Linked DNA regions of Ovis aries. The protein of the gene in region 1 interacts with the protein of each later gene in a pairwise test. Links are inferred from orthologs where the notes say so. Each region holds a gene or a part of one and is shown on either strand. Other genes may lie near its edges. The genes, in order: LRP6 and GSK3A.

Evidence for each region.
Region 2: the proteins of LRP6 (region 1) and GSK3A interact in binary tests that used the Homo sapiens proteins (3 or more experiments, as listed by UniProt). The link is inferred for Ovis aries from reciprocal best matches to the Homo sapiens genes LRP6 and GSK3A.

What each region holds. Positions count from the first base shown.
Region 1 is NC_056056.1:203,184,716-203,200,230, forward strand, and holds the start of LRP6 (low-density lipoprotein receptor-related protein 6), read left to right. Parts: upstream 1-8,793; 5' UTR 8,794-8,999; coding exon of another isoform or gene 9,000-9,110; coding exon 9,111-9,165; intron 9,166-15,515. UniProt on the Homo sapiens protein: Component of the Wnt-Fzd-LRP5-LRP6 complex that triggers beta-catenin signaling through inducing aggregation of receptor-ligand complexes into ribosome-sized signalosomes.
Region 2 is NC_056067.1:50,606,295-50,621,683, forward strand, and holds the start of GSK3A (glycogen synthase kinase-3 alpha), read left to right. Parts: upstream 1-7,743; 5' UTR 7,744-7,871; coding exon 7,872-8,154; intron 8,155-9,883; coding exon 9,884-10,071; intron 10,072-11,367; coding exon 11,368-11,451; intron 11,452-11,613; coding exon 11,614-11,724; intron 11,725-13,323; coding exon 13,324-13,454; intron 13,455-13,548; coding exon 13,549-13,655; intron 13,656-14,590; coding exon 14,591-14,688; intron 14,689-14,766; coding exon 14,767-14,862; intron 14,863-15,220; coding exon 15,221-15,389. Other genes in the region: ETS domain-containing transcription factor ERF, read left to right, coding at 814-1,048, 1,430-1,545, 1,659-2,941. UniProt on the Homo sapiens protein: Constitutively active protein kinase that acts as a negative regulator in the hormonal control of glucose homeostasis, Wnt signaling and regulation of transcription factors and microtubules, by phosphorylating and inactivating glycogen synthase (GYS1 or GYS2), CTNNB1/beta-catenin, APC and AXIN1.

The DNA.
Region 1 (15,515 bases):
AGTGTTGTCTCCACTCTCCCCTAAACCTACTAACAGCCACCAGGGACAGACTGAAGTTTTGTGGTGCCTGAGCAGATACAGCTGGAGAAGGGAGAACTTTTTAAAAAAATGGATGCAAAAATATTTACCTTTGCAAAGTTTATAAAAACACATGAGCATGTTAAATCTTTGCCAGGGTCCCTCCGAGGGCCTTTGGAAGATGTCTATAGAAAATGGGCGTGGGAGGAAGGGAGCTGGGGCTTCGGCAGCCTTAGATAGGCACACACATTCTCCCCTGGATTCTCCTTTTACCCAGAAGTGGCCTCCCTCCCCCTCCCTCCTCCCTCCCCCCTTACTCCTCCCCTCCCATCTCCCCCTTCACTTCCCCTCTCCCTCTTCCCCTTCCATCTTCCCCTTTCTTCCTCTTCTCCTCCCCCTCCCTCCCTCCTCCTCCCCTCCCTCTCTCCTCTCCCCTCCCCATTCCCTCCCCATTCCCTTCCCATCTTCCCCCCTCTCCTTCCTCTTTCCTCTCCCCCTCCCACCCCTCTCCTTTTCCTTCCCTTCTTCCCCCTCCTCCTCCTGGTCCTCCTTCCATCCCAGGGCCACCTACCCTGTCAAGCTCCAGATCTTCTGGGAAGCCTCTGATTCACTCTTTTATTTCCTCCTCCTTTACTGAATCACCCACTTCAGGTTATAAATGTGACTCTGTTCCTCTCAAACTTAAAAACAAAGTAGCCAATCAATCCTAACAGTGTCAACCACCCCTACCCCTGCTCCCTGGTTGTTCCATCTCCAAATTCCTTTCTAGCCACCCAATTTGCTCCCTTGCCTTTAACAACAAAATTCTGGGAAAACCACTGGCCTCTCTCCCTGTTCCCCATTCGTTTCCCAATTCATGGCATTCTTCCTTTGGCTCTCATAACTTGGCTGAAATAGGTTTGGGTAAAGTCATCAATGACTGTTTTGTTCACTTTATTAGTGATTAAAAAAAACAACAACAACCCAAGCAGTAGAATTTTAAAAAGTAATGGTCCTCCTAGTATCTCAAACAGTGAAGTGTCTAATTAAGTTTCCCATTACCTCCACTAAGTACATGCCTCGGAATGCCTACTCTTAACAATTCCATGTTTAGAAATGGTTACTTCTCCTTACTTTTTGCTTTATTCATCCATATCTAAAACAAACACATATACCATTACATAGGATTTCTCTCTCTCTTTTCCCTTTCTCCTTCCCTTCATTCCTTCAGAACATAAATCTCATCACATTGAATCTTCTTTCTCTTCAATCAGTCATACATCACAGCTACACTTACAAACCAACAGATATGAATCTACACAATTCTTTCTGACGGTTGTATGGTATCCCACACTAAAGATACACTGTTTTGTCTTTTTAAAAAACATTTATTTGTTCAGCTGAGTCAGGTCTTAGTTGTGACATACCAGCTTAGTAGTTGTGATGGCGTACGGGCCTAGTTGCCCCACAGCATGTGGGATCTTAGTTCCCTGACCAGGGATCAAACCTATGTCTCCTGCATTACAAGGCAGAATTTAAACCACTGTACCATCAGGGAAGTCCCAGGATATATTGTTGTTGATTCAGCTACAGCCTGTTGGAGTGCATTCAGGTTCTTTCGACTAGGTTGAAGCATATAAAAGTGCCACTTTTGTAGGCTTGTTTTTTTTTTTCTGTTTTGTTTTCTATTACATACAATGTTATAATAAATATCTATTTGTGCGTATCTCTATGATCTTTTCTTTCTGCCGATAAATTCCAAGAAGTGGAACCGTAGTGTTAAAGGTGTATATATTTTACTCCTAGATTGCTTTCCTAAAATGGTGACATAATGTACGTTCCCATCAACAGCCTTTTGGGAAGTTATCCGTCACAATGACCTCTTTTCAGTGCTTCTCTCAGCAGACTTCGCAGTAAGCTGTACAGTAGGCTCTTGGAATCTGCAAGGGTTGATTCTAGGATCCCCCTGGATACCAGAATCCTGGTATGCTCAAGCTCATTATATAAAGTGGTGTAGTGCTGTCAGCCTTCCACATCCCCGGTTCTGCTTTACCATCCTCTCCAGGGTTGGTTGAATCTGGATGCAGAACCCAGAATACAGAAGGCCAACTGGGCTTCCTTGGTGGCTCAGTCGGTAAAGAACCTGCCTGCAGTGCAGACTAGGGTTCGATTCCTGGGTCAGGAAGATCCCCTGGAGAAGGAAAAGGCAACCCACTCCAGTATTCTTGCCCGGAAAATCCCAATCCTATGGACAGAAGAACCTGGTGGGCTATAGTCCACGGGGTCACAAGAGTCAGACACAATTTGGTGACTAAACCACCACTGTGTTTGCTATGGTTAATCACTTTTTATCCTGGCATCACTTTCAACCAGCTTTCCACTTGCCTCTTTCTGTCTCTTGCCCTAACCTCTCCCAACCAAGTACTAACCAGGCCTAACTCTGCTTAGCTTCCAAGATTTGCCATGGTTCTGCCAAGATTTACTTTTCTAGTCACACTGCTGCTGCTGCTGCTGCTGCTGCTGCTGCTGCTAAGTCACTTCAGTCATGTCCGACTCTGTGCAACCCCATAGACAGCAGCTCCACCGTCCCTGGGATTCTCCAGGCAAGAACACTGGAGTCTAGTCACACTAAATGTTCTATTCTCTCCTTAGGGAAGTTTATGGTTTCAACTATATCATCTCTGCACTCAGCCTGCCAATGAATTGACCCCAAGGTGACTTCACCTGAACTAGAAAAGAATTTCCCTTCCTGAAGATGTCATACAGTCATTATCCAGAAAATTGTGGCAATAACTTCTTGATTACTATTTAACATTCTATAGTAAGTCCCCTGGATTGTATGGTGTACACGCTCCACAATTACCATTGATAGCTGTGTTCTCCATTCCTCTCCCAAGTCTAAACTTCTATATCAAAACGCTCTCCTGGAGGGTGTGGCAAAAAAGGAACCCTCCTGTACTGTTGGTAGGAATGTAAATTAGTGCAGCCACTATGGAGAACAGTATGGAGGTTCCTCAAAGAACTGAAAATAGAGCTACAAAATGATCCAGCAATCCCACTCCTGGACATATATCCAGAGAAAAGCATAATTTGAAAAGATACAGGCACCCCAATGTCCACTGCAGCACTACTTACAATAGCCAAGACATGGGAACAACCTATATGTTCAACAGGGCAGTGGATAAAGATGTGGGGCATACATACAGTGGAATATCACTCAGCTGACTTTGCAACCCCATGGACTATAGCCCACCAGGCTCCATGGAATTCAGGAATTCTCCAGGCAAGAATTGAACTCAGGTCTCCTGCAATGCAGGAAAATTCTTTATTATCTTTGCCATTAGGAAGCCCTAAAAAAAAGAATGAAACAATGCCATTTGCAGCAACATGGATGGACGTAGGGATTGTCATACTGAGTGAATTAAATCAGACAAAGACAAATATCATATGATATTGCATGGCTGAGCGACTGAACTGATGGCTTATACGTGGAATCTATTAAAAAAAAAAAAGACACAGAAACAGAACTATAGATGTAGAAACCAACTTATGGTTATCAGGAGGTATGTGGGGGGATAAACTGGGAGACTGGGATGGACATATACATACTACTATATGAAATAAATAACTAATAAGAACCTACTGTATGGCACAGCGAACTCTACTCAATATTCTGTAATTGCCTATATGGGAAAAGAATCTAAAACAGGAGTACATATATGTGTAACTGATTGACTTTGCTATATACCTGAAACTAACATCACATTATATGTAAACCAACTACACTCCAATAAAAATTTAAGAAAAACAGAACAACACATTCTCCTGGATAGCTGCAGCTCGGTGTTTTACAAACATTGCCAGTATAAAAGGCCCATTGTTGAACTTACCATCAGTCCCTCTTGAAATGCTCCTTATGCATTTCTTTTCTTAGTAAATTAGACTGCCATTCACTGGGATGCATAATTTAGAAACCTGGAAATTCATCCTAGTCTACTTCTGTCTCTCCCAATTCACATCTGATAGGTCACCAAGTCCTGCAGTTTTGATCTCATATTCCTGAAATCCACCACCTCTTTTCAAACTCGAGTGCTGCTGTCCTGACCATCTCTTTCATAGACTAAAAATAACTTCATCACTGGTCTTCCTACTTTTTTTTTTTTTTTTTTTGCCTTGCCTCCCTTCTGTTACCCACACTGCTGCCAGAGGAATTACTTAACATTCAAATCAATTCTCACCATGAGAAAAATCCTTCAATATCCATACTGTCAAGAGGTGAAAATCTAAACTTCTTAGCATGACTTTAAAAGCTCTTTATTATCCAATACCTACTTAACGGTCTTGCCTCATTTCCTGATATTCTCTGAAAGCGCCCTAGGCTTCAGATATATGGATCTACTTTCAAATTCCCAACATGCCAAGCTCTCTCTCTAATAATTCAGTGCCTTTGCACCTGCTCTCCTTCTGCTTGGAATTCCTTGTCAGTCGTGATGGCTTGACAAACTCTGACTTAAATTTCAAGACTCAACTGCAGGGTTATTTTCCCTTCTTTAAATTGTTCAGTTCGCCATATGTGCTGTGTACTTGAGTTCCTTGTTGATATGGTACAAACATGCACTATAAATAAATTTTAACTTTATTTTTGTTTCATTAATTGGATTTTTTAAACTAGGTTGTGAGCTTCTAGACAGTAGGGACTATATGATTAATCTCATCTTTGCATGCTCAGCACTTTACTGAGACTGGCCTTGAATATTTTTAATAGGCACTTGAATGCATGTGAAACAAATTATTAAGAAGAACAGCAACCTGACTGAACTTAAGCTATTGATTTTCACCTAAGTAGTTTTAAAGAAATTGCAAAAAATAAATAATACATTAAAGCAAATTTAAGAACAGAAAACTAAAGTAAATTTCCTATTATTACACTATCCTAATCACTGTTTTAGTGCATTTAGTTTTCATCTTTTCTCAAGCATGTGATATTAATATATATATGTTTATGTTGAAACATGTATGTATATATTTATATTTTATATAGCTGTAATTAAAGTCTATTGGAGAAGCGTTCTTGCCTGGAGAAATCCCAGGGACGGCAGAGCCTGGTGGGCTGCCATCTATGAGGTCTCACAGAGTCGGACACGACTCAAGCAACTTAGCAGCAGCAGCAATTAAAATCTACATGCACTTTGGGATTTCCCTGGTGGTCCAGTGGCTGAGATTCTGTGATCTCAATGCAAGGGACCCCAGTTCAATCCCTGGTCAGGAACTAGATCCCACATGCCACAACTAAGACTTTGCATGCCATACTAAAGATCCTACAATCTGTACTAAGACCTGGTGCAGCCAAATAAATAAGTTTTTTTTAAAAAAGCATTTTTATAAGTTTTCAAGCTTAGCGAACTGTAAACATTTTTCTAACAGTTTTATAGCCTCCAAATTATTATTTTCCAGGACTACAAATATCTCAACTCCCTACTAAGGTTGATAGTCTAAATGAGACTTAGGTTATACCCAGTTTTCTATTATAAATAGGAATAGATCCAGGTTTTGTGAACCTGAAATTTATACAATTTTGAGTGACGTTTTCAGAAAAAGAACACAAAATTATCTTACTTTTGCAAATAGAACCATGTGAACACATTGTGTTTCACAGGGGCCTGTGAAAGTGGGAAGGGAGTCCTGAAGGTTAATTTTCATTGGCTTTGCAGTTATTGACCTCCAACTAGAAATAATCCTGGACTAAACATTTTGAGCCTGAATTTGTTTTCCCCTTTGCTTCCATGGTGTCTAAAGGATTCCCAGTTACCAGGATCCCATTTGCCTTGTGGGGGTTGGGAAAGGAAATGGTCATTTATTGAGCACCTATTACATAATGACCAGTTTCTATATATTTTTAAATTTAATTCCTACCACAAGCCTGAAAACTAAAATCTCCATGTTACAGATGAGAAAACTGAGGTGCAGTGCGCTTAAATCGTATGCCCAGAGTTACACATCTAGTGACTGAAAGGGTTGGACCCTTCTGGTCTTATTCCAAAGCTCATACCTTCCTGACTACATCAGGGTGTCTCCACAGCCTCATAGCTTCAAGGTAATGTTTTCTAGGTTATTGTGGAAATCCGGTTATTAGTGATTTGTTTTGAGGATGACAGAATACAAAACTTGCAGAATCCTGACACGGTTAATGGAAGAAGGTAATTTAGATCAGTGGTGGCTAGACTTTCACAGGTGCATTTAGGAGAAAGATTTGGCTCTTTCTAGGAATACCAGACCACCTAACCTGCCTCTTGAGAAATCTGTATGCAGGTCAGGAAGCAACAGTTAGAACTGGACATGGAACAACAGACTGGTTCCAAATAGGAAAAGGAGTACGTCAAGGCTGTATATTGTCACCCTGCTTATTTAACTTATGTGCAGAGTACATCAAGAGAAACGCTGGACTGGAAGAAACACAAGCTGGAATCAAGACTGCCAGGAGAAATATCAGTAACTTTAGATATGCAGATGACACCACCCTTATGGCAGAAAGTGAAGAGGAGCTAAAAAGCCTCTTGATGAAAGTGAAAGAGGAGAGTGAAAAAGTTGGCTTAAAGCTCAACATTCAGAAAATGAAGATCATGGCATCTGGTCCCATCACTTCATGGGAAATAGATGGGGAAACAGTGGAAACAGTGTCAGACTCTATTTTTTTGGGCTCCAAAATCCCTGCAGATGGTGACTGCAGCCATGAAATTAAAAGACGCTTACTCCTTGGAAGAAAAGTTATGACCAACCTAGACCTATTGAAAAGCAGAGACATTACTTTGCCGACTAAGGTCCATCTAGTCAAGGCTATGGTTTTTCCTGTGGTCATGTATGGATGTGAGAGTTGGACTGTGAAGAAGGCTGAGCGCCGAAGAATTGATGCTTTTGAACTGTGGTGTTGGAGAAGAGTCTTGAGAGTCCCTTGGACTACAAGGAGATCCAACCAGTCCAGTCTGAAGGAGATCAACCCTGGGATTTCTTTGGAAGGAATGATGCTGAAGCTGAAGCTCCAGTACTTTGGCCACCTCATGTGGAGAGTTGACTCATTGGAAAAGGCTCTGATGCTGGGAGGGATTGGGGGCAGGAGGAGAAGGGGATGACCCAGGATGAGATGGCTGGATGGCATCACAGACTCGATGGACGTGAGTCTGAATGAGCTCCCAGAGATGGTGATGGACAGGGAGGCCTGGCGGGCTGCCATTCATGGGGTCGCAAAGAGTCCTACACGACTGAGCGACTGAACTGAACTGAGCCTGCCTGGATAGAGAAGGCAATGGCATCCCACTCCAGTACTCTTGCCTGGAAAATCCCATGGACGGAGGAGCCTGGCGGCCTACAGTCTCCGGGGTCCCATGAGAGTCGGACACGACTGATTCGCTAAACAATCTGCTTACAGACACGCATCACCTTGGCTCGGTGTCCATTTCCTGGAAATAGCAGAGCATCTGTGGTCGGAAGACCTGGGTTAGGTTAGGACTTGCTATAGTCTACGTGAGTGACCTTGGGAAAGTCATTGAATCCCCTAGTTTCCCATTTTCCTCTTCTGCAATGAGGATGCCAAGTGACACAACCTGTCTTACCCCAGGGTAGTTATGAGTGTCAAATCTGACTGTGAGCAGCACTTGGTGAACCTCAGTGTTACTACGATATTGAGTACCACTGCTGGAGTAGCTCCAGCTCCGCGCCACCTGCCCACAGTAAGGTTGAGTGACAGGTGGATGGATTGCTGCTGATGGCTCCTTTAGGTTAACTCTCAGTGGTGCCATCCCAGCTTCACCCGCACCCCCCACCCCCAAGCTGCCACGTGATTCCAAGGGCTTCTGGGCCGTTACTCCTGAACGCCCAGTGAAAGGCGGCTGCTGCGGCGAGCAGCCGGCCAGAGGCTGTGCAAAATCGAGTCTGAGATTCCGAGGAATCTTTTCCTCCTCAATCTGAGAGCGGATCGTCACAACATGCCAGACATTCATCACTAAACGCAGTTTGCAAAATCCTAGCACCGTTCTGCCCACCGTCCCTTTGCTTTGTTAGGTGCTGACGCATTTATCTTGGAATTTTATCTGCCGGGTTAGAAATCCTTTAGTCCTTGGGGGGGGGGGGGGGGGGGGCAGTCTGTAGTTCTGGGAAACCAGGAGAAAATTAAAAAAAAAATTCAGTTTTCTGTTGGCGTTTGAATACCCTTCACCAGATCCATGTTGAAAGCCGATGGAAGCAATATTAGTTTTCATTTTCCTTAAAAAAAAAAAAAAAAGATGCTTAAACAGATTTCCAACCCTGGGACTAAAGTCATGCCTCGTATCGGGATCTAGGTGAATCTCCGAGCGTGGACCTGCGGCTCTGCAGGCCCAGCCAGCCGTCTCCTGCCGCCCACCTTGGCCCCGGCCCAGGTGGCGGCCGGCGTGGACCTGGAGCCTCACCTGGCTCGGTCGGCGGCGGCCGCACAAAGAGCGGCGCAGGCGGCTGCCGGGCCGAGCCGCAGAAAGTAGTCCCGACCACGCCGGCTCCCGATGTTGTTCGACGTCGCTTCACGCCCTCCGCGGGGAGGGCCGAAGGGTCCGGCCCGGGAAAGAATCCCTTCGGAATGCGCCACTGGGCGGCCTGTCCCCTCTGGCCCGCTTCTACTGGTCCCGCAGATCTCCCGGGGTCTCCTCGCCGAGGCTGTGCGCACGGTTTCCTCTCCTTTTCTAACCTGCCCGGGAGGCGGCACCGAGGGAGGGGAGGGCTCGCCCGCGCGCAGGGAGACCTCGGCGGCGATCCGTGACGGTGGGAGGCGTATCCCTGCGCCGCTGCGTGAGAGGAAGAGGCTGAATGAGGAGCTGCGCGGGGGAAGCGGGGCGCCGGGGGAGGAGGCGGCGGGATGGAAGCAGACGCTGGCGTCGCGCGAGCTCCGGGCGGAGCGGCGCGGTAGAGAGGGCGGCGGCGGCGGCAGCGCGCGCGGAGCCTTGACGGGCCCCCTTTTCTTTCTTCTCTCTGGAAAGCTGGGAAGCATGAGCGTGCAGACCTGCCGCTGCGGCGGCCGCCCCGGCTCCTCGCCTCCCCCTCTTCGGGCCGCCCCTCGCCGGTGAGAGAAGCGAACGCGAGCAGGGAAGATGGGGGCCGTCCTGAGGAGCCTCCTGGCCTGCAGTTTCTGCGTGCTCCTGAGAGGTGGGAGAGAAAGCGGGGGGACGGGAAAGTTGGTGGGGTTTGCGGGAGGGAAGGAGGGGGTCTCGTTCTGTTGTGTCTACGGAGGGGAGGGGAGGGTGGGGGAGGCGAAGCTGGGGAAGGAGTTGGGAGAGGCCTGGTCGTGGGGAAGGAGGGAGCAAGGGGCCCGGGAGAAGGGGCTGCGCGCTCCGCCCGGCCACGCTGCAGCCCCCGCCTCGCTTGCCCCACCGCGTCCGGACAGAGCGTTCGTCCGGGCTGCCTGGCGGGGTGACCTCCCCCCGGAGCCCCATCCTGTCCGAGTGACTGGAGATCGGTGGGTCTCCTGCCTGCAGTCACCGGGGACGAGGGGCTTTGTATGGATCTTGGCTCTCGGAACGTTGGAGCCCAAGATGCTTCAGCGCTTGGATTTCTCCCTCCAAGCCCCCACCTTTTCCCTGTGGGTCCCGTGAACTTTTAGAGCCCTCTTACTATTTTTTCCAGGCCTTGTAGCAACTAATAACTGGTTTCCGTGGAGGATGTAATGATCGTGGGTGAGAGCATAGTTGGAAAGGGACTCCGAGGTTATAGGTCGAGTGTTTTCAGCCTTGGGGAATCGCCTGGGCTCCAGCCCGTAATAAAATAGAAACGTTGCCCTTGCAACCTCTGGCATTCAGGACTTGCCCCTATTTTCGGAGCATGCAAGTGTACAGTTGGCACCAAGTAGGAAAGTCATCCTTGGTGGAGAGGAGCCTGTCCTGGGACCTAAGTTATCATCTGCTGCGCTCCCCTGGAGACTGCGTGGCACGTTGGTAAATAACATAGGCTATTCTAGGTAATTTGCCCTGAGAATCGCGTAAATTCAATGGTCCCAGGTTTTGTTTTTTAGATTGGCCTGCGAAACTGTCACACATGCTGCGACTTTTTTGTGACAGTTCACTGAGGTTTTTGACTGGCCTGCAAGATTTCAACAGCTCTTCTCACATCAGTGGTGAAGTGGTGATGACTCTGATGCTATGGGGCATTTACCAGCAGAGGAATTTAAGTACCAATTGATGGAATGACTTGAAGCTTTGGTTTCAGTTAACAATTCTCGCTTGTGTTCACGGTCAGTTCTTTTCAGGTATGGGACCTCTTGGGTCTAAGGAGATTTTTAGCTGTTAATTTAATAGGCTAAATTTATGTTCAATGTGCACACTTACTTTAGTTTCCAGAACACAATAGTAACAGTCTTGTGTTATAAATGAGCTGGATATGCCATTTCTGAGTATATGTTTATTGGATAAGCGTGATTGACATTGTTTTGGAGGAGGAATTTTTTTCTTTAGTTACACTTCAGGATTATTCAGGGAGATCCCCTGGAGAAGGAAATGGCAACCCACTCCAATGTTCTTGCCTGGGAAATCCCATGGACCAAGGAGTCTGGCAAGCTACAGTCCTTGGGGGTCACAAAAGAGCTGTTGATTTAACTGAGACACAGCTGAAGTGACTGAACAGCAGCCGCAACAGCAGGATTATTAGGTCTGCCTGTTTTATATACTTATACTTAATTACAACTCATTGTAAGCGTATTCTAAACTATTTCCACGTGTAAACTTTAGAAAGCTAGTGCTTATTTTATTTTCTTGGCAGAGAATTGGATGTAGTGGTATGTACTTGAGAGGTCTAGTAATTATATATTCATTTTAGTATGATATAGTTCCTATTGAAGGGGATTTTGCTATAGTTGTGAGAAACAATTTTATTTGACATAGAATATGGGTATATTTTAAGACAGAAGGTTAATAGAATTAACAAATAGAGTCCCCTGTTGGGTTAAAGCCTTGGTGAAATTGCATTCCATTACCCAGATGCTTCTGGTTGCCCAGTTGTATTTCTTGGAAGAGGAGGTTATGTTGTAAATGCCACTTGTTTAACACCAGAATTGAGCCCAGAATTGAGTTTATTCATTATTGGAGTTAAGAGAAGTTACATTTGAAATAATATTGTGACGTATGATATTATGTAAGAAGACCTAGAAAAGTTAATAGTGCAAATTGCTTCATTTCCACCAACAGAATTTCCAAAAGTGAAGCTCTTATTTTAAATATAGTCTAATCATGGTTTAAGGTGGCCTTTGAATTTAACATACTTAACCATGGGTATATATTTGAACTAAAACTATTTTTACTGTGAAAGATTTTTATTCATAATTTAGGTTCTTCTCATTCCTTGATAATGTCATCCTCTTAAAATTGTGTTATTAGTTAATCTTGGACTCCAGGGAGAAGTGATTACTTTGTTGTATTAAGATCACTTGTTGTATTAAGATCACTTTTCTTCACAGAAGAGTTGGAGGTTTAACATTGGGAAGATGGGATGATGGGAGAGTTTGGGAGACCTTTGGTCCTCTGGCCCAGTTAAATCAATAGCTGAAAGCCGGGAAATAATGCTATCATTATCTGGACTGTGTCCTCATCCTTATCATCAGAGGACAAGGTGTAATGGAAAGATTGGGGGACTTCAGCACCCAAATCTTGAGTTTAAAGTCCATGCTGCCGCTGTTAAGTCACTTCAGTTGTGTCCAATTCTGTGTGACCCCACAGATGTGGAATCCTGTCCCTGGGATTCTCTAGGCAAGAACACTGGAGTGGGTTGCCATTTCCTTCTCCAATGCAGAAAAGTGAAAAGTGAAAGTGAAGTCGTTCAGTCCTGTCTGACTCTTCGCGACCCCATGGACTCCAGCCTGCCAGGCTCCTCCGTCCATGGGATTTTCCAGGCAAAAGTACTGGAGTGGGTTGCCATTGCCTTCTCCTAAAGTCCGTGCTTCACTACCAAATAACCTTATGATTCTGATCTAGTCAGTTTCTCTGGGCTCCAGTTTCTTTATATGTAAAATGTGGGTAGTATTACCAAGCTAGTTTGCAAATTTTTTGGTCATATTAAATGAAATACTGAATATAAAGTGATTTGCAAATGTTATTTTTTGTTACAATTTTCAATGGTAGACATATCCTCAGATGCTGGGGATTTGAGATTTAATTTCTATGAGATTCACAAGTTCTTAAAGATTTTGATCCTCTGGTCTAACCACTTCATTTGCAAGTGGGGAAACTCACATTCAGAGAGATTATAACTTGATCAAAATCTTACAGCTGATTAATATTAGAGCATGGATTTATTGTTCATTCTTTCAGCGATTAGCTGTGGAATACCTACTGTGTATCAGACTCTGATGGTACATTGGTAAGCAAAATCAACATGGGCCCTGCTCTGATGGACCTCACCATCTAGGTTGCCATCCTTAACTTCCATCCAGTTACTGGTTAGAAAAGATTATAGCTCTGATTTCCTAGAAAAGGAAAGTTATGACCAACCTAGATAGCATATTCAAAAGCAGAGACATTACTTTGCCAACAAAGGTCTGTCTAGTCAAGGCTATGGTTTTTCCAGTAGTCATGTATGGATGTGAGAGTTGGACTGTGAAGAAGCTGAGCACGTGAGAATTGATACTTTTGAACTGTGGTGTTGGAGAAGACTCTTGAGAGTCCCTTGGACTGCAAGGAGATCGGTCCTGGGATTTCTTTGGAGGGAATGATGCTGAAGCTCAAACTCCAGTCCTTTGGCCACCTCATTCGAAGAGCTGACTCATTGGAAAAGACTTTGATGCTGGAAGGGATTGGGGGCAGGAGGGAAAGGGGACGACAGAGGATGAGATGGCTGGATGGCATCACTGACTTGATGGACATGAGTTTGAGTGAACTCCAGGAGATGGTGATGGACAGGGAGGCCTGGCTTGCTGCAATTCATGGGGTTGAAAAGAGTCGGACACGACTGAGCGACTGAACTGAAAAGTTTTGGAATACCGTAGGTGTGTAAATTTTATAAATACTGTGTCCCAGCATATTTTGAGAAGGCTTTGTTGTTTTGTAAGAATCCTGTGCTACTCATCTTTTGTTGTTAATTTGTTTTGGTGGGGTTGGGGGGGGCAGTGGTGGTAAATACTGTTAGCACAAGCCACTAGTGTTTTCCATCTCAAATTTTTATAGGAGTGGTCCTTGGCGAATTAATTAATATCCAGTATAATGAGACCTTAGGAGGATAGAATGAATTTTGGAGTGGGAATCAGAATTGATTCTCATTCTAAGTTTGCCAGTAGCTAGCTGTGTGACCTTGGATAGGTCATTTCATCTTTGTACACCTTCATTAGCTTCATTAGGATAATGAATCTTCTTTTGCAGGTTCTTAATTCATAGTAACACACTAAGGGCTCTGAGAGGTTATAGGGTAGAGACCAGTTTTAACTTTGTTAAAATCTACTGTTTCCCAAACTCAACAATGAACTTTTTTTGGTGAATTCTGTAATTTTGTAACATTCTGCTGAACCTGTGTTCCAAGAACACATGTAGAGAGAACCTGAGCTAGGTAGCCTTTTAAGCATTAGGGTGAGTCATGTGAATTGATATTTGATGACAGTTTCATATAATTAAATTTGATACTTTAATCCCTGCTTACTTACTTGGCTTTAGATTTGCTCATCTGGCTAGGAAATAATTTGGTTATGAAACTTTTGGGTTTCAGCTCATTGTTTTCATCAGGCCTAACAGTAATTTCCCATGGTTCAGTTTTTCAGAGAATTTTTCTTTTCTTTAATTGAAATTTTTCCATTTGCTGAACTGAAATGCTTTTCTGTATAGTTAATTGTATATGCTCTGACTATCAGAAAGGTTAGTCTTTTTTTGAGTATCAAGGAAGGTTCTTTGAAGGAGTATATAAATGGAAAGTATTCTATGTGAATTTATAAACTGAACATAATAGAAAAATAAGTAAACAGGTTATAGTTATGTTTAGGCCATGGGTAAGTACTATGAGAAAATTGATTTTTATCATGGAAATTTTATTGCAAACATATTCTCAGAAGACTATACGGAGGGGCACTGTAGCAGAAAGCTATAGGCTTTATTGACAAACCAAGTTCAAGTCTTCTACCACTTTGGCACCCTTGGACAGGTTACCTAGCTTTGGTTCCTACTATTAGATGGGGATAGTATCTTCCAAGATTTCTGTGAGAACTCATTTTTTGTTTGCAAAGGGATAGATAGCATAATGCATGGTCAGTAGTAGATTTTGTGTGAAGAGTTTCTATTGTTAAATGGCTAATTTAAAAGAAATATTAATGCTCAGGAAAGACAAAACATGTTTTGGGCACTGTTTTAGGCCAGTAGGTTTTGAACTTGATTATTCTGCAACTAGAACTACATGAAATACTTCGATATTTTCTGTTTTAATTTAAATAAACAACACGGCCTCTATCTACTTAATTTATCTTACCTTTTAAGGGATTACAACTTGAACCTTTTATGTGATTATTATAAATAAGAATAAATAGTTGGTTATGATATTTATTTTAAAATTGCCCATATTTATGGAGAAAATAAAGTATTTCTAATTGAAATGTTTGTCATTGTATTATTTGTTTATAATAATTAAAATCATTCGATTGATGGACTTCTCCCTGTAGGGTGGGTAAATACTATACTGAGCTCCTGCCTTGTATGTTTCATGCTTTATATGAGAGAGAGTCTTTATATTTCTTCTGTAAAAGGAGCCTCCCCTTAATGAATAGAATTCTGCTTCTTGTGAATAACTTGGAAATTTAGTCAGATACCTGGACTAGGCAACCTAAAGAATAGAATGTTTGCCTTTGAGATTATTGATTTAAAACATAATTCATCATAAGTATAAGGAAAACAGTTATTTGTTATTATTAGTACCTGCTTTTGTTTCTCAAGCTGTTAGTGTTATTTGTGGCAGTAGTGACTTTTCGCACAAAAGGTTTAGGTCATTCACATGAGAGATTGGAAAATTCTGAAATGTGCCTGGGCTCAGTTTAGTGAAAACTAAGTAATTCAGTGCTAAATTTTGTTTCTGTAATACCTTGCTTGGAAGGGCCAGGAGCTTGGGGATGTGGAGTGAAATCATACTTTTAGGCAAAAAAATAAAATAGTGAATTTTTAAGTTGCTAATTGACACTAGAAAGATGAATGACTGACCTAAGGCCAGATTGCTTGTACTCTGGACAGTAATTTTACACACAGTGCCTTCTGTGTGCATCTGAATTCACCTGTACCTTATGGATTTGAAAGTGATACCAATCACTTTTGATAGGGGAAAATAAATATCATTGTAATTTTGGAGGTCAAGAGGCTCTTTTGCCCAGCAATCTTGATTCCAGCTTGTGCTTCTTCCACCCCAGGGTTTCTCAGGATGTACTCTGCAGATAAGTTAAATAAGCAGGGTGACAACAGACTGGTTCCAAATAGGAAAAGGAGTACGTCAAGGCTGTATACTGTCACCCTGCTTATTTAACTTATCTGCAGAGTACATCATGAGAAACC
Region 2 (15,389 bases), on another chromosome or scaffold:
AGGTAGGTGGGCAGGGAAAAAGCTGAAGATGAGAAGGCAGAAGGGGGAATGGGTTGCAGCGAGCGATGCCTGTTCAGTGTTGAGGCCCTCCAGCCAGGTTGGGTCCATGTGCCCGGGTCTGGGTAGGGCAGTGCAGCACAGAGGGTCCCGGGCTTGATGGGGGGGCGCTCTCTCAGACAGTCTGGGTTTCACTCTCCAGGGAAGACAGAAGCCTCTGTGTGTGCAAGCGCTGACCTCATCGTCAACCAGCCACCGCACCCCTCCTGGTCCTTTTAAGAAAAAAAAAAAAAAAAACCTTCTCCTCTTGGGGGCCTAGGGTGGGAGTAAGGGCTCCGGTAGGTCTTGGGAGGGAGACAGTGTATGTTCCTAGGAGGGGAACAGAGGAGGTTGGGGGGGGCAGGGGCGTGGTAATGACTGACCCTGAATGGGAGTCAGGGTGGGCTGGGGGTGGCTAGCCCCAGCCTGCCTGGCCACGTGTGCCCCTTCCTGCCCCTCCCCCACTGGCAGCCCTGCCCGTCGGCCTGGCCTGGTGCCTGGCCCCCTGGCACTGGCCCCGGGACCCGCCGCCGACGGTTTCCTGTTTCTCCCGGTGTCGCTGGAGCAGGCTCCAGCTTCCCCTCCCCCCAGCTCCTGTCTAGCCCCCCTCACACACACAGACACGCACTGTCTCCCTCTAACCAGGTCTTGGCTTGGCAGAGGGGAGACGGGTTTCCCCATGGTAAGGGCGGGGATAGGAGGTGGACCCTGGGATGGGCCCCAGGGCCCAGACTCGGCGCCCTGACCCGGGGCTGCTCTCCTGCCTCCTGTCCCCAGGCTTTGCCTTCCCGGACTGGGCCTACAAGCCGGAGTCGTCCCCTGGCTCCAGGCAGATCCAGCTGTGGCACTTTATCCTGGAGCTGCTGCGGAAGGAGGAATACCAGGGCGTCATCGCCTGGCAGGGGGACTACGGGGAGTTCGTCATCAAGGACCCGGACGAGGTGGCTCGGCTCTGGGGGGTCCGCAAGTGCAAGCCCCAGATGAACTATGACAAGCTGAGCCGGGCTCTGCGGTGAGGAGGACAGAGGCCCTGGGGCAGACGTGGACAGCCCCCCCAACACACCAGTTGGGAGCCCCCTGGCCCGTGGGGGTAGGCACTGGGTTTGACTTCTGGCTGTGCCACATGGTAGCTGTGTGACCTCGGGCCAAGTTCTAACCCCTCTGAGCCCACGTGTCACACCAAAGCGAGAACGTGGTCATGGATGTGGCCTGTAGTCTGGCCCCAGAACTAAGGGGAGAGCTGGTCCCCACCCTCTGGACCTTGATTCCTCCCATGTGGCCCACGTTTCTCAGTCACCCTTTGCAAGTAACACTAATACAGGTCAAGGTTTGGGTTCTAGATTCGGGTCCCCTGTGACTGACCCTCTGGTGAACGGTGTTTCTGCACCCCCAGCTATTACTACAACAAACGCATTCTGCACAAGACCAAGGGGAAACGGTTCACCTACAAGTTCAACTTCAACAAACTGGTGCTGGTTAATTACCCTTTCATCGACGTGGGCTTGGCTGGTGAGTACCAGGGCTGGCGGGTACGGCCTTGGAGAGCAGGGTCTACCCGAATGTCCAGGCGAGGCGGAGCGGGTGGGGGGGGGCTTGACATCACGTCTTCCCTCTCCCGTCAGGGGGTGCGGTGCCCCAGAGCGCCCCGCCAGTGCCGACAGGCGGCAGCCACTTCCGCTTTCCTCCGTCGACGCCCTCCGAGGTGCTGTCTCCCACCGAGGACCCCCGCTCACCGCCGGCCTGCTCTTCGTCATCGTCATCCCTCTTCTCGGCCGTGGTGGCCCGGCGCCTGGGCCGGGGCTCGGTCAGTGACTGTAGTGATGGCACGTCAGAGCTCGAAGAGCCCCTGGGAGAGGACCCCCGGGCCCGACCGCCCGGCCCCCCAGAGCTGGGTGCTTTTCGTGGGCCCCCACTGGCCCGCCTGCCCCATGACCCTGGTGTCTTCCGTGTCTACCCCCGGCCCCGGGGTGGCCCTGAGCCCCTCAGCCCTTTCCCCGTGTCGCCTCTAGCCGGGCCTGGCTCCCTGCTGCCCCCGCAGCTCTCCCCGGCTCTACCCATGACCCCGACCCACCTGGCCTACACCCCATCCCCCACGCTGAGCCCCATGTACCCCGGTGGTGGCGGGGGCCCCAGCGGCTCGGGGGGAGGCTCCCACTTCTCCTTCAGCCCCGAGGACATGAAACGGTACCTGCAGGCCCACACCCAAAGCGTCTACAACTACCACCTCAGCCCCCGCGCCTTCCTGCACTACCCCGGGCTGGTGGTGCCACAGCCCCAGCGCCCCGACAAGTGCCCGCTGCCGCCCATGGCCCCCGAGACCCCACCGGTCCCCTCCTCGGCCTCGTCCTCCTCTTCCTCCTCTCCATTCAAGTTTAAGCTCCAGCCGCCCCCCCTGGGACGCCGGCAGCGGGCTGCTGGGGAGAAGGCCCCGGCGGGCGCTGATAAGGGCGGCAGCCTGGCCCTCGGCGGTGCAGGCGGGTTGGCCGAGGGTGCCGGGGTGCTGGCCCCGCCACCGCCACCGCCACCGCAGATCAAGGTGGAACCGATCTCCGAAGGCGAGTCGGAGGAGGTGGAGGTGACTGACATCAGCGACGAGGATGAAGAAGATGGGGAGGTGTTCAAGACGCCTCGTGTGCCGCCTGCACCCCCAAAGCCCGACCCGGGCGAGGTGCCCGGGGTTGCCCAGTGCATGCCTCTCAAGCTGCGCTTTAAACGCCGCTGGAGTGAAGACTGTCGCCTCGAAGGGGGTGGGGGCCCCGCTGGGGGCCTTGAGGATGAGGGTGAGGACAAGAAGGTGCGTGGGGAGGGGCCTGGGGAGGCTGGGGGGCCCCTCACCCCAAGGCGGGTGAGTTCTGACCTCCAGCACGCCACAGCCCAGCTCTCTCTGGAGCATCGAGATTCCTGAGGGCTGTGGGCAGGGGACCCCCATTCCCCCCACCCCCATGCCTCTTTTGCTGCCTTAACCCCCCCATTACCTGGAGGTGAGGGCAGCTTTTTAGGCTCGCTCTGCCTCCTCCTCTTTCCCGTCCCCCATGTTTTGTATAAAACTTTTAATTTTTTTTTTTTTTAATGATGAGGGTGGGTGGGTGCCCAGGGTGGGGGGCCATCCCCTTTCCCTGTGGGTTTCTAAGCTCCGGGCAAAGTGGTGGGGGTGGGAGGGAGGGGGGAGTTAAGGGGGCCACCTCCATTCTGGGGAATTTATATTTGAACTGAGGCTCCGGCCTCAAAGCCCAGGAACTTTTTTATCACAATCGTTTAGGAAGTAAAGCCTGTCTCCCTCCCTGTCCTCTGCCTCTGGTACTTCTCTCCCTGTCTATCCCCGGCTGTCCTCAGCCCCAGTCCTGCCTTCCCCGCCCCTCCAGGGGCCGTGAGTGCCTGGGTTTCTCATAGCCCCACAGGGTTGCAGCAGAGGAGGGAGGGACATTTTATGATGAACCAAAAATTCCGTGTTGGGGGGGGTTGGGGGCGGAGGAGGGTGAGGGGTGCCGCCCATAGGCCACAAATCTCTACAAGTGCCTGCTATCCCTCTCCTGGTCCCCACCCCAGTGCCAGTCCAACCCCTTCACCCCCGAGCTGCTCCTAGGACTTGCCCCATAGGCAGGCGGGTGGGGAAAGGGGTGCCCTGAAACCAAACTGGAAGCCCCCTCTGTCTCCCAGCTGGAGCCCCTGGGGTGGGGGTCTGTGGTCAAGCCTTATTCTGTATTGGGGATGGAGGGTGGGTGGGGAGGGAAGTCGGGGGCTGCTGGAGAATGTATTCAAAACAATAAAAACTTTGGACCTTTGGACGCAGTGATCTGAGTGTTGCACGCAGCCACCTCAGGGCCACATCCTTGGCCCTGAGTGGATCCATGGCCAGAGGGCCTAAGCCCATCTGAATGGGTCAAGTCCAGGCCTGGAAATGAACTGACCTTGGGGGGCACTAAACCTCTGGGCCTGGTGGTGAAGGTCTTGGGCATTCTCTGGCCCTCCTCTGGGGATCCACTCTTCCTGGGAGCACTTTTCGGCTCTTCAGTGCCAGGCCATGGCCCTTGTTCTTCTGCCTGAAATGCCTCTCTTCTCTGTGAAGTACTGTTCATTCCTCCAGGCTCTGGTGAAGGCCTGGTGCTCCTTCTGCACTACCTTTGGTGTCCTCTCACATATCAACTCTTAGAGGTGCTTATGAGTTCATCTGGTAGTCCTTTGGTGACAGGCTTGCAGTGTCTTGCAATGTAGATCTTTCAAGGCACTTTAGTGATCTTCCCATCAACCCATGGGAGCACTCTACTAGTAAATTAAGAAGAGACTGGCTTAATTGCAGTTGCTGTTCACCTACTGTGTGCCAGGTACTTAGGAGCTGGAGTTCTTTATCTCCAAGGTGGGAGCTAGCGGCTCACTTAAATGACTTGCCTAAGGCCTTAAGCCCAGCTGGGACTTTAATGAAGTCTGTCTCTGAAATACATGTTCTTTCAACAACTTAGTTCTAAAGCCAGGATGGTTGATTCTAGACCAGGATCTCAAGTTCCTAAGATCTGAGAGGAGAGGTCATAAAGCCAGAAGCCCAAGTTGGAGAGCTTGAATCAGAGATGAAAGAATCAGGAGGAGGTATCCAAGCTGGAGGTGCTTTGAGACAGCACAAGCCATCCAGTGCAGGTGAGGTGCCTGAGGCCCAGAGAGGGAAAGGAATTTTCCAAAGGCCACACAGCTGCTAAGATAATTGAGGGCCCTGGTCTTGCATGGCTTCACCATGAAACCCCACCCTATGCAACTCGGGGGGAAGGAACTGGAAAATCCTACCCACTCATTTCATCCTCATTTCAAGCCAGCCCTGGGTGGGTGGTCCCTGATGATGCCCGTTGGCAGTGAAGAAAGGATCCAGGGCTGGGGTACTGTGAGGCTCCCGTGGAGGCCTGCAGGCAACTGCTCCCTCTCCTGGGTGATGTAAGTCACTCCCTTGGGGTGGGGGCCACTGGGCTATTTCTGGAAGTAGGGATGAGGCGTGTCTCCTGGCAACATGGATGCAGCTAAGTTGGTGGTGGTGTGATGGAGAGAGGGGGATGTCATCACTGAGGTAGGAGGGAGGACCCTGACTAGTGGTCTCAGCACCTGATTCTAGTGCCTTCAGAGCACCTCTAAACCGGATCTACCATGGAGTCAAAGGTGCTCAGCTCCAGAACCCCTCTCCAGATCAGATCACAGCGCAGCCAGATTTCTTTCCCCAAATTCTGGCTGAGTGGGATGTCACACGTGGCCTCTGGTCTTGAAAACTCCAGCAGCTCCTCTCATCTTTAAAGTGGCCCATCTAAATCTATTCAGTTTCTGCAAGATCATACCCTTGCTCCCTTCCACATCTTTCAGGATCTCTGATACCAAGTAAAAGCTCTTTATAGATCTCAAGACACTTCCATCAATTAATTCATATTGTCAGAGACCCTCTCCTTACCTATAATCCCCAGCACTCCCTCAGTCCCCAGAAATTCCTTTCTTAGGCTTCTCAACCATCCCTCACTTCTTCAGGTCCCTCAGAAATACCCTCAGTCACCATCAGTTTCTCACAGTCTCCCACAGATCTTTTACAGACACCTCAAGTCCTTTCTGACTTCACTCCTCTCCAGGAAGACCATTTTACCTCTTCACACCTCTGAGCATCTCTAGACACCCAGAGGTCCCTCATAGCCACTTACAAACCGCTCTAGCACCCCTCAACAAACGTTCTCATCTCGTACAGACATTCGGATAAGATTCCTTCAGACTGACTCCCTCAGACTCCCACGGACCCCCATATCCTCTGGCGGTTGCACACGTGCGGCCCACTCCGCACTTCCCACGGGTTCTGGCCGTTAAGTAACCGCCACTATTCCGCCCTGTTCTCCTGCCCTTGTAAGCCTTCTTGGTCCAGGTTAGAATTCCCCAGGATTTGGGGTTTGAGTCAGATTTTTGCTTTTGGACTCCGAGCCGCCGTCAGAGGGCAGCAGGAACTGTTTGACTGAGGGATTACTACAACTCCCAGAAGCACCCGCTCTGGACTATGCAGTGATGTAGCCGAATTCATTGCGAAGAGAGCGGAAGTGTGACTGTGCTTTGCCTTCTGGTTAATGTAGTACGAAAGGCTTCAGAGTTACTATCCGTCCTGCCCCAGGAGTCCGCTGGGAATTGCACTCAACTACAGCTTGGACGAGACTTTTTTCAAAGGGCAGGGCAATTAGAGTGATCACAGGATCTGATTAAAGTGAAGCCTAGAACTCCATTTCCCGTCATTCCACGAGGCAGGAGAAGAGGGTGACTTCATTTCAGTTACAAATACTTCCGGAACACACAGACGACACATTCACATGAACTCTTATTTCCCAGCACACACTCACACGAGCTCTGTATACACACACACACACACACTCAAACGAACTCCGTTTCCCAGCGCGCTTTGGACTGCCGTCCTTCCGGGTATTAATCGATAAGTGGTGGCAACATAATGCGAGCACAAAACGCGAGGCTACTCCTAGCAGCTGGCTTCCTTCTTTTGGGCCTTCCAGCATCCTGTAATTTAGGAAGCCTGCGGATTCAAAGAGCTTAATGGGATGTTCAAGATAAATTGTGTTTTCATTTTTTTCAACCTTCAGTTCAGCCTCCAGGTGCAACGTACATTGTTAGGAAAAGCTAGACAATATCCGAAGACTGTATTGTCTTGAAAATCCACCGGAAACTTTGTTTCCTAAATCGTTGGCGGGGAGGGTTTTCCTTCCGGATTTGTGGAAACTTGGGAGTGTTTGCACTCCATTTTCCAGTAGTCCCTGATTGACTTCGGCTCTTTCTTGGGACCTGGCATCAGGAGAGGAGGCGTTGAAACTTTCCGCAGTCTCTTTTAGGCGACTGCCTTTCCCCTTTCGCTCACGCTCTTTCCGGCAAACCTCAGCTGTCTTCTCACAAAGGGTCGGGATCCGGTCTGGACTATTCCCCAGCATGCTTCAGGATTACGGTGGACCCCGCCCCCTCAGTCAATGGTAAGGCCGCCTTGAACTCCATTTCCCAGAAGACACAAGGCTCGCTGTAGCAACTACCCTGAAGCCTCGGTGTTGACTACATTTCCCAGCAGGGATTGCGGCCTAGCGAACGAGGGTGGAGGAATGCTCTGCCTCTCCATTTCCTAGCCTATCTCCGGAACTGCAATATCCACTTGGAGCTTAGGAATCACATGGGACTCCATTTCCCGGCGTGCTTTGGAAGTAGCTTTATACCCGCAATGCGGTGAGGGCGTGGCGACGACTACATTTCCCGGCTTGCCTCACAGCCCGATAGCGGCGGGTCCACCGACTCCGACTCAATTTCCCAGAGTGCACTTGGCACCAGTCGACATACAACCAATAAATTAAGTGAGCGATTGGACTCCGTTTCCCGGAGTGCATCGGACCTATACAGCTCACTGACGGAGTTGCCTGAGACTACATTTCTGAGGCACACCTAGGGACGCGCGGTTGCCGCAATGGAGTGAGTGTGCGACTCTGACTCTGCTTCAGAAAGTGCTTCAGAGTCCGTTGTGGGCAATTGTCCAACTTATTGCCCGGGACTCTATTTTCCGAGGTGCAGCGAGACTCATCATCGCCGCAGCCATCTCTGAGGTCTTTGTGGACTCCATTTCCCAGCGTGCCACGCGGCTCTCTGTGAGGGCCTAGAGCGGCGACGGCGTCGCGTAGGGCCGGCGGACTGCATCTCCCAGCGTGCCCCGCGGCGGGCGCTGGGCCGGAGCCGGAGCCCGAGCGGCGCGGCCTGGAAGAGGCCGGAGCCCGGGGGAGGCGGCGGCGGCGGCAGCGGCGGGGGCAGCCCGGGCAGCCCGAGCCCCGCGGCCTGGGCCTGCGCTCGGCGCCATGAGCGGTGGCGCGCCTTCGGGCGGCGGCCCTGGGGGCTCGGGCCGGGCGCGGACCAGCTCGTTCGCGGAGCCAGGCGGCGGAGGCGGCGGCGGCGGCGGCGGCCCGGGGGGTTCGGCCTCTGGCCCAGGCGGCAGCGGCGGCGGGAAGACGTCAGTCGGAGCCATGGGCGGAGGCGTGGGGGCCTCGAGCTCCGGGGGTGGCCCCAGCGGCAGCGGCGGAGGAGGCAGCGGCGGCCCCGGCGCGGGCACCAGCTTCCCGCCGCCCGGAGTGAAGCTGGGCCGTGAGTACTAGCGGTGCCCGTGGCGGGTGGAGATCGGATCCCTGAAGCCACTCAGACGTCGATCAGGTTCTTCTTTATGCTCAGGGAGGAGCTCGAGGTCACTGTGCCTTCCCAAACTGGGATCTGAGATCTACCCCCTCCCGGAGAGAGGGATTCGGGGGGGTTGCCATCACTTGGAGTGTAGAATTAGAATTAGTAATCCTCCAAAAGACAGGGTCACAGGTTCTTGTTCTTCCAGTCCCGAAGTCTTGGGTCCGTGAACCTTAAAAACAGGAATCTGATGTTGCTATCCATTCGAGAACAGATCAGGGGTCATTGTCGCTTGCAAATGGGGCTCAAGGGTTATTGTTTCTCAAGAGAACACGAATAAGATCACCACCACCCAGAGAAGGGATCTGAATTTGCTCCCCTTTAGAGCATGGGGATTTGAGTATCACTTAGAAGCAGGGATTTGGGCTTGCTGTGGCCTCAAAGCCAGGGCTTTCCAAATCTGATATCCAGATTCCCTTTTAAAACACTATCTGCCCATAATATGTAGAATTGTACACCCAATGGTGGAAATTAATGATTCCTGCTTCTTGAGGACAGATTGGAAGTCAGCATACCTTTCAGACCAAGTTCATAGTCACTAATATTCAAGAAAAGATGTCTTTCTTGAAGGGTTTCCTTTCACAGAAAACGCAATGGGGGCAGGGGCGGTTACCAGTCCCTCCCCTAGAATAAGGATGTGAAGTTATACCCATTTCATTATTCTGATGTATGATGTCATTGACTCTGGATAAATAGCTATATAGGATCCTCTCCCTCACTGGCCCCTCTGAATGGATCTGATTCATCACTGACTTCTTTTCTTTGGGGAACCTTTCACCAGTTACCGCAAGAAGAGGGATCCCTGTCCTCCAAGAATGCCACCAACTTTTGCTGCCATCGCAGAATGTTTTGGGAATTTCCTTTAAAGGACTGAGGCTAGGATAAACCCTTGATGATAGAGATCAGGTTCACCATTCTCACTATTAAGTGTTCGTCCATTAGGGACCAGTTACATACACGATGGGGTCTGGGGCTCTGAACCTCACAGGTGAGGTCAGGCCAGTGCTTTTTTCTAGCCCCAGAGTATTTGGGTAAGAGCTAATTGTCTCCCAAAAGTGAGAGTTAGGGCGCTGGCACTCCCTACGGGAAGAGTCATCCTTTTCTGTCACCAGAAACCAGTGGTGAAGTTACCAGCTGCACTTAGGGAGGACTTAAGAGATCACTGTCCCCCAAGTTGTGGGAAAGGTTAGGGCTTTACTGACATAGAAGTACCTCAGGGTTCCTGCTCTCAAGTGGAAGAGGTTAGGTCAGGCTCTCCCTAGAGAGGAGGGAGCAGAAGGCAGTTAGCTCTCATCATGGATGGATTCAACATCTGGGAGTGGTGGTGCCTCCTCACATCAGGAGGGACCAGTAATTTGCTGCTCACCAGAAGTGGAAATTAGAGGTTACCAACCCTGGCACAGCAAGAGGTTTTATGTGTCAGTATTCTCCCCTGTGGAGGAGTCAGGATTTGGGGTTCCCTGAAGGGAAGAGGGGGAAAGGAGACATCTAGGAGCCACCTTTGAAGATGGGGGAGGGACAAAGACCGTCCCCCGCCCATAAGCTTCCTGTAGAGACTCCCTGCCCTCTCACAGCCCCAGGATGGGGTGGTGGCCCGAGGGAAAAGGTCAGTAGATTGTGTGTTCCCTTTGCTCCCCAGGTGACAGTGGGAAGGTAACCACAGTGGTAGCCACTCTAGGCCAAGGCCCGGAGCGCTCCCAGGAGGTGGCTTACACAGACATCAAAGTGATTGGCAGTGGCTCATTTGGGGTCGTGTACCAGGCACGGCTGGCAGACACCAGGGAATTGGTGGCCATCAAGAAGGTTCTCCAGGACAAGAGGTTCAAGGTAGCTTGCGGGGAACGGGGATCAGGAGGTTTGACTGCACATGACTGGTGGGGGAACTCCAGCAAGAGTGCTGGACTTGGGTTTGTACAGGGGGTCTGAGCATGGGCCAGAGGAGAAGAGAGTGAGCTGTGTGGGGATGTGGATTCCAGGAGAACCCAGAGCTGACTTTTATTGGGCTCTTGTTCTTCGTAAGTGCTTTGTAGGCGAGTTTAACAGCGCAAAGATTCTCTGAGGGTAGGTGCTGTTGTTACTCCTATTCTAAGCAAGCAGAAGCTGGAAACTGAGATTCAGATAAGAGAATTGCACAAGGTCAAGTCTAGAATCTGATTCCCAAGCACTTCACCTTAACCACTGAGTTACTCTGCTACCCAGAAGAGAAAGGAAGCTGGTGGGGCTAATTCTGTCTGCGAAGGTCAGGCTCTGCCCCCAGGGTCTGGCACTTGCTGGGAGAAATCCCGCCTGTGCTGCAGATGCCTGGGTGTGGGGCCCAGGCACCCCTGAGGAAGGGGTCCTTTTCCTCATTCATATATAGTGCCCTGTGAGCTGGTAGAGGCCCTTTGGATCCTGTATAGTCGGGACGTAGGAGAAACTGAGCCTGGGCTGAAGAAACCAGGTCAGAGTTTAGGTCTCGGGCAGTGAGGACTCTCAGGGGCAGGTCTTCCTCCAGGGCGCCGGTCAGAATTTGATTATAGGTAAGTCCCGAAAGTGAGAGGAGTCTGAGGATGGGGGCCTCTGAGGCCCCAGGGGGGAACAGGAGAGGCAAGAGCGCTAAGACTGGTCTTGTGGGAAGAGGCTGAGGCTGGATCTCTACTGGGAAGGTGAGGATGAGAAGCCTGGAGGCCAGGACTCGGGATCCGAGCGCCCAGATGCCTTCCGTGAAAGCATGGAGCGGCGTGGGGACTAGGGGCATCTGGATGACCCCTCCCTGTCTAGTGTTGCTCTTGCCAGGCAGGGAAGTGGGCCTCATGTGGCCACATCATGTGATTTTCAAGAGAAGCTGAAAAACTTAGATTTACATGTGAAGTCATTTGCTTTGTAAATCTGAGCAAAAAATCAAACATTTTTAAGAAGTAGGCTGCAAGAAGCACATGTAAGTGATCTGACTTTAGTTGTGTGTGAGGGGAGCTAGGGGTGAGGAATTAGGGGCTGCTCCATATGGGGCCTTGGAGCTAACGCACGGAGTGGCTGCTTGGCCCTGCCGGCAGGAATGGGAGTAGAGCTGTGGTGAGGGGTGCTCGGGAGGGGAGGCGGGGAGAGTGGCTTGTCTACTGAGGCTCTCTTCCCTTGCCCCCCAAGAACCGAGAGCTGCAGATTATGCGTAAGCTGGACCACTGCAATATCGTGAGGCTGAGATACTTTTTCTACTCCAGTGGGGAGAAGGTGAGACCTGGGTGTGGGGATTCCTCCTCCGCTTGGGCTCCACCCATCTGCCTGCCTTTCTCATGGCTGCTCGTCTCTTCCCTTGTTATTCCCCACACCTTCCTCCCCCTCTTCCTTGCCCATTTCTCATGATGCCTCACACCTCTCCTTTGCTCTCTGCAGAAAGATGAGCTTTACCTAAACCTGGTGCTGGAATACGTGCCCGAGACAGTGTACCGGGTGGCCCGCCATTTTACCAAGGCCAAGTTGAACATCCCTATCATCTATGTCAAGGTAGGCAGGCTGGCGGGCTGCGGGGGTCCCACCCACCAAGTCAGGCGCTCCAGACAGACTCTCCCGTCATTTCCAAGTTTACGTTGGTCTCTAGAGGCCTCACGTGCCTTGCCCTTGTCCCTACATCCCCAGAGATGGAGCTCCCCAAAGGCAGGGCATCCCAGGCCGAGGCCTGATGCAGTCAGGGAGGCAGGCTGACCAGGGCTGGGGAGGCTGCACGTTACCGGCTCGTGTCCACCCCAGGAGCCCACCGGCACCAAGCGATGTTGGTGCGGTCAGCTCAGAATCGAGGTGGGGACTTAGAATGCAGAGGCACAATGAGGTCAGAGGCCTGGCCCGTGGAGCCCTGGCAGAGGGGGATGGGAAGGAGGCAGGGTTGGAGGAAACTTAGTGTCCATGGCACCAGGGACTCAGGCATCTTCATGGCCTGCGGAGGCTCATTCCCCTGGTGCTGTGCCCTGTGTGTTACTGTCCCTAAGGACGGATTTGAGTGAGTGACTGGGTGAGTGGGCGGGCTTCGGGATGCTGTGGAGGACAGGACCCGAGCAGCCAGCTGCACGGCGGGAGGAGGGTGGGCTCGCATTTGCGGAGGTTGCATGGGCCGACTTTCCTCCCATTGACTTTAAGGATCCCAGGCCTAGGGGGGTGCTGTGGGACTGCACCTTCTGGGGGGGGCGGGTGGTGGTGATCTGGTCTGTGGACTGTGTCCTGGACCCAGCACTGAGCAGCTCTAGGGGTCCCACTGACTGCGACGCAGACTGCTCCAGAAGAGCTCTCAGTTTAGCAGGGTAGACAGGCGTCATCACAGAGAACTATAAAACTACCAACATTGGCTGACCCGGAAGAAGCACAGGGATTCTGCAAAGAGGAGGCCCCTAGCCCTGCCTGCTTTGGGAGTGAGAAGGATTGAGGAAGGCTTCTGGGAGGAGACTGGGCACAGGGCAAGAAGTTGGCATCTCTGGCCACAGGCACTGGGAACAGAGGAGGCGGTGCCCAGGAGGCGGGCCTGAGCAGTTACACATGCCGGGCAATGGACGAAGCCCTGGGGCCCCAGGGCCCCAGGAGCAATGGAAACACTGAGATCCCTGCTCTTGGCACTTAACGTCCTAGTCAGTAGGAAAGAGAATAGCAGAAAAATCCAGGTGGAGAGGGGCTGGCCTGAGGGTGGTTTTGACTGCTGAGTGAAGGAGGCTGAGCCCTTCCTACAGCCAGTGGGTTCCTTGGTGAGGCTCCCCAGCCTGCTTTAAAACAAGGCCTTCCTGATGTACCTGTCTTGTCCATCAGGCTTCTGCCGAAGTGTGTGTTTGAAGCAGTGGTTTCCAAAGTGTGGACCGGCACCAGCACTACGGGGCTGGTTGCAGAGCTTTATCCTGATCTACCGAATCAGAACCTCTGGGAGTGGGCCCTGCAGTCCTTGTTTTAACATGGCCTCCACGTGATTCTGGTGCTCACCAAAGCTTGAGAACCAAGGGGCAGCGGAAGTGTTTTCAAGACAGGGAGAGTGGGCCCGGAAGGGCTCTGCAGGCCGAGATGGTGGAGCAGGGGTGTGCTCTGCGGGGAGAGCTGGGCTGGAGTTCTGCTATCCCCTGCCCACCCCAGGTGTACATGTACCAGCTCTTCCGGAGCTTGGCCTACATCCACTCCCAGGGCGTGTGTCACCGCGACATCAAGCCCCAGAACCTGCTGGTGGATCCCGACACTGCTGTCCTCAAGCTCTGCGATTTTGGCAGGTGAGCCTCACCTGGGGTGGGCTGGGTGGCTGAAGGGGCGAGGAGGGATCCCGACCCTTGGCCTGTGTTGACTCCTGCCCATATCTTCCTACAGCGCAAAACAGTTGGTCCGCGGGGAGCCCAATGTCTCCTACATCTGTTCTCGCTACTACCGGGCCCCAGAGCTGATCTTCGGAGCCACCGATTACACCTCATCCATCGGTCAGACTTGGCGGGGGGGAGGGGGGGGTAGCAGTCATGGCAGTTTTTGAGGTCCTTCTGTGTGTCTGCCAGGCTCGGTGATAAAGCGTAACACTGTTCCTTTAGCTGGTCCTCACAAATTCAGGAAGGTGACGCTGTCACCTGTCTAAGCTTTAAGTCTAAAGCTTAGAGTGGTGAGGTCACCTGCCCACAGTCAGGTGGGACTGGGCAGGGCTGGGCTTTGAAAGCAGACCTGACTCCAGAGTCCATAGAGCCCTGGAACCTCCCAGGAAGTCCTTTCTCCTCAGTCAGCAGGAGGGGCTGACAGTGACCTTGGGGGAATCGGGAGGTGAAAGGCTTTGCCACCATGAAGGTGTGACCTGTTCACAGGGCCTCGATGTCCTTCCCTGTTGCTGGGGGTGAGAGTGCCAACTTCCAGGCATGAGGAGAGGGTGTGAAAGTGTTCGGAAGAGAAAGTTCATCAGCTTTGCAAGGAAACGTCATGGTCCCTAGGTGTGAACTTGTGCTGTGGGGGTCAAGGTACAGGACTGGAAGGGGTGACTAACCAGGCCACGGCTATTTCCAAGTGCAAGAGAGAGGCCAGAAGTGAGTAAGGCAGCTCATTTAATGCTTTCCCTTCCTGAGGCCCAGAGAACACAGCTGTCTGTTCTGGGCCTGTTGATGTGTCCTCTGAGGCTGCAGAGAAAAGGCTTACTGGGATCAGAGTGGAGAGAGGCGATGGAATCCTCTAGATTGGAGAGTACAGCGTAGTCAGGCAGACTTGGAGGTTCAGAGTCAGGCTTCTGTGTTCCTATACTGTGTGACCTTGTGCAAGGTCCTTTCTCACTGAGCCAAGAAAATGGGGCTCTTGGCATCTCTCAGGGTGATCATGAAGGATAGAAATGGTTGCCCGGGGATGGGCATGGTAGCTCTGACCCTCCCCTGTTCCTCTTCAGATGTGTGGTCGGCTGGCTGTGTACTGGCTGAGCTCCTCTTGGGCCAGCCCATCTTCCCTGGGGACAGTGGGGTGGACCAGCTGGTGGAGATCATCAAGGTGAGGGCAGGGCCAGGGCGGGCAGGGACTGGGCTCAGGGCCAAGGACCTTGGCTCAGACCCCTTCCTTTCCCTACAGGTGCTGGGAACACCAAGCCGGGAACAGATTCGCGAGATGAACCCCAACTACACGGAGTTCAAGTTCCCCCAGATTAAAGCTCACCCCTGGACAAAGGTGGGGCAGGATTCGGGGTTCAGGCAGCGTGGCTGAGGTCCCCACTGGAGGCCAACTGGTCTGGGGACCTGGCTATAGTCATGGCTCAGTAGGGGGTCAGTTGACTTTGATCACATGGCAAAGTTTAAAGCTGAGAACCCCCAGTAAATCCCAGAGGCATGATTTCAGATGGGGAGACGGGCTCACAGCACAGCAGGGGCCAAACAGTCATGGGACCCGAGCGGGTTGCTTATCTGATACAAGCTCACCTCCCCTCAAGAGGCTGCGTGTCAGTTTCCTCATCTGGAAAGCGGGGTTGTGGGGGCAAGCAGGAGCACTCCCGTGCCCAGGGCCTCAGCCATCTCCTCTGCACCCCCAGGTGTTCAAATCGCGGACGCCGCCCGAGGCCATCGCGCTCTGTTCCAGCCTGCTGGAGTACACCCCCTCCTCGAGGCTCTCGCCGCTGGAAGCCTGCGCGCACAGCTTCTTCGATGAACTGCGATGTCCTGGAACCCAGCTCCCCAACAACCGCCCGCTCCCCCCCCTCT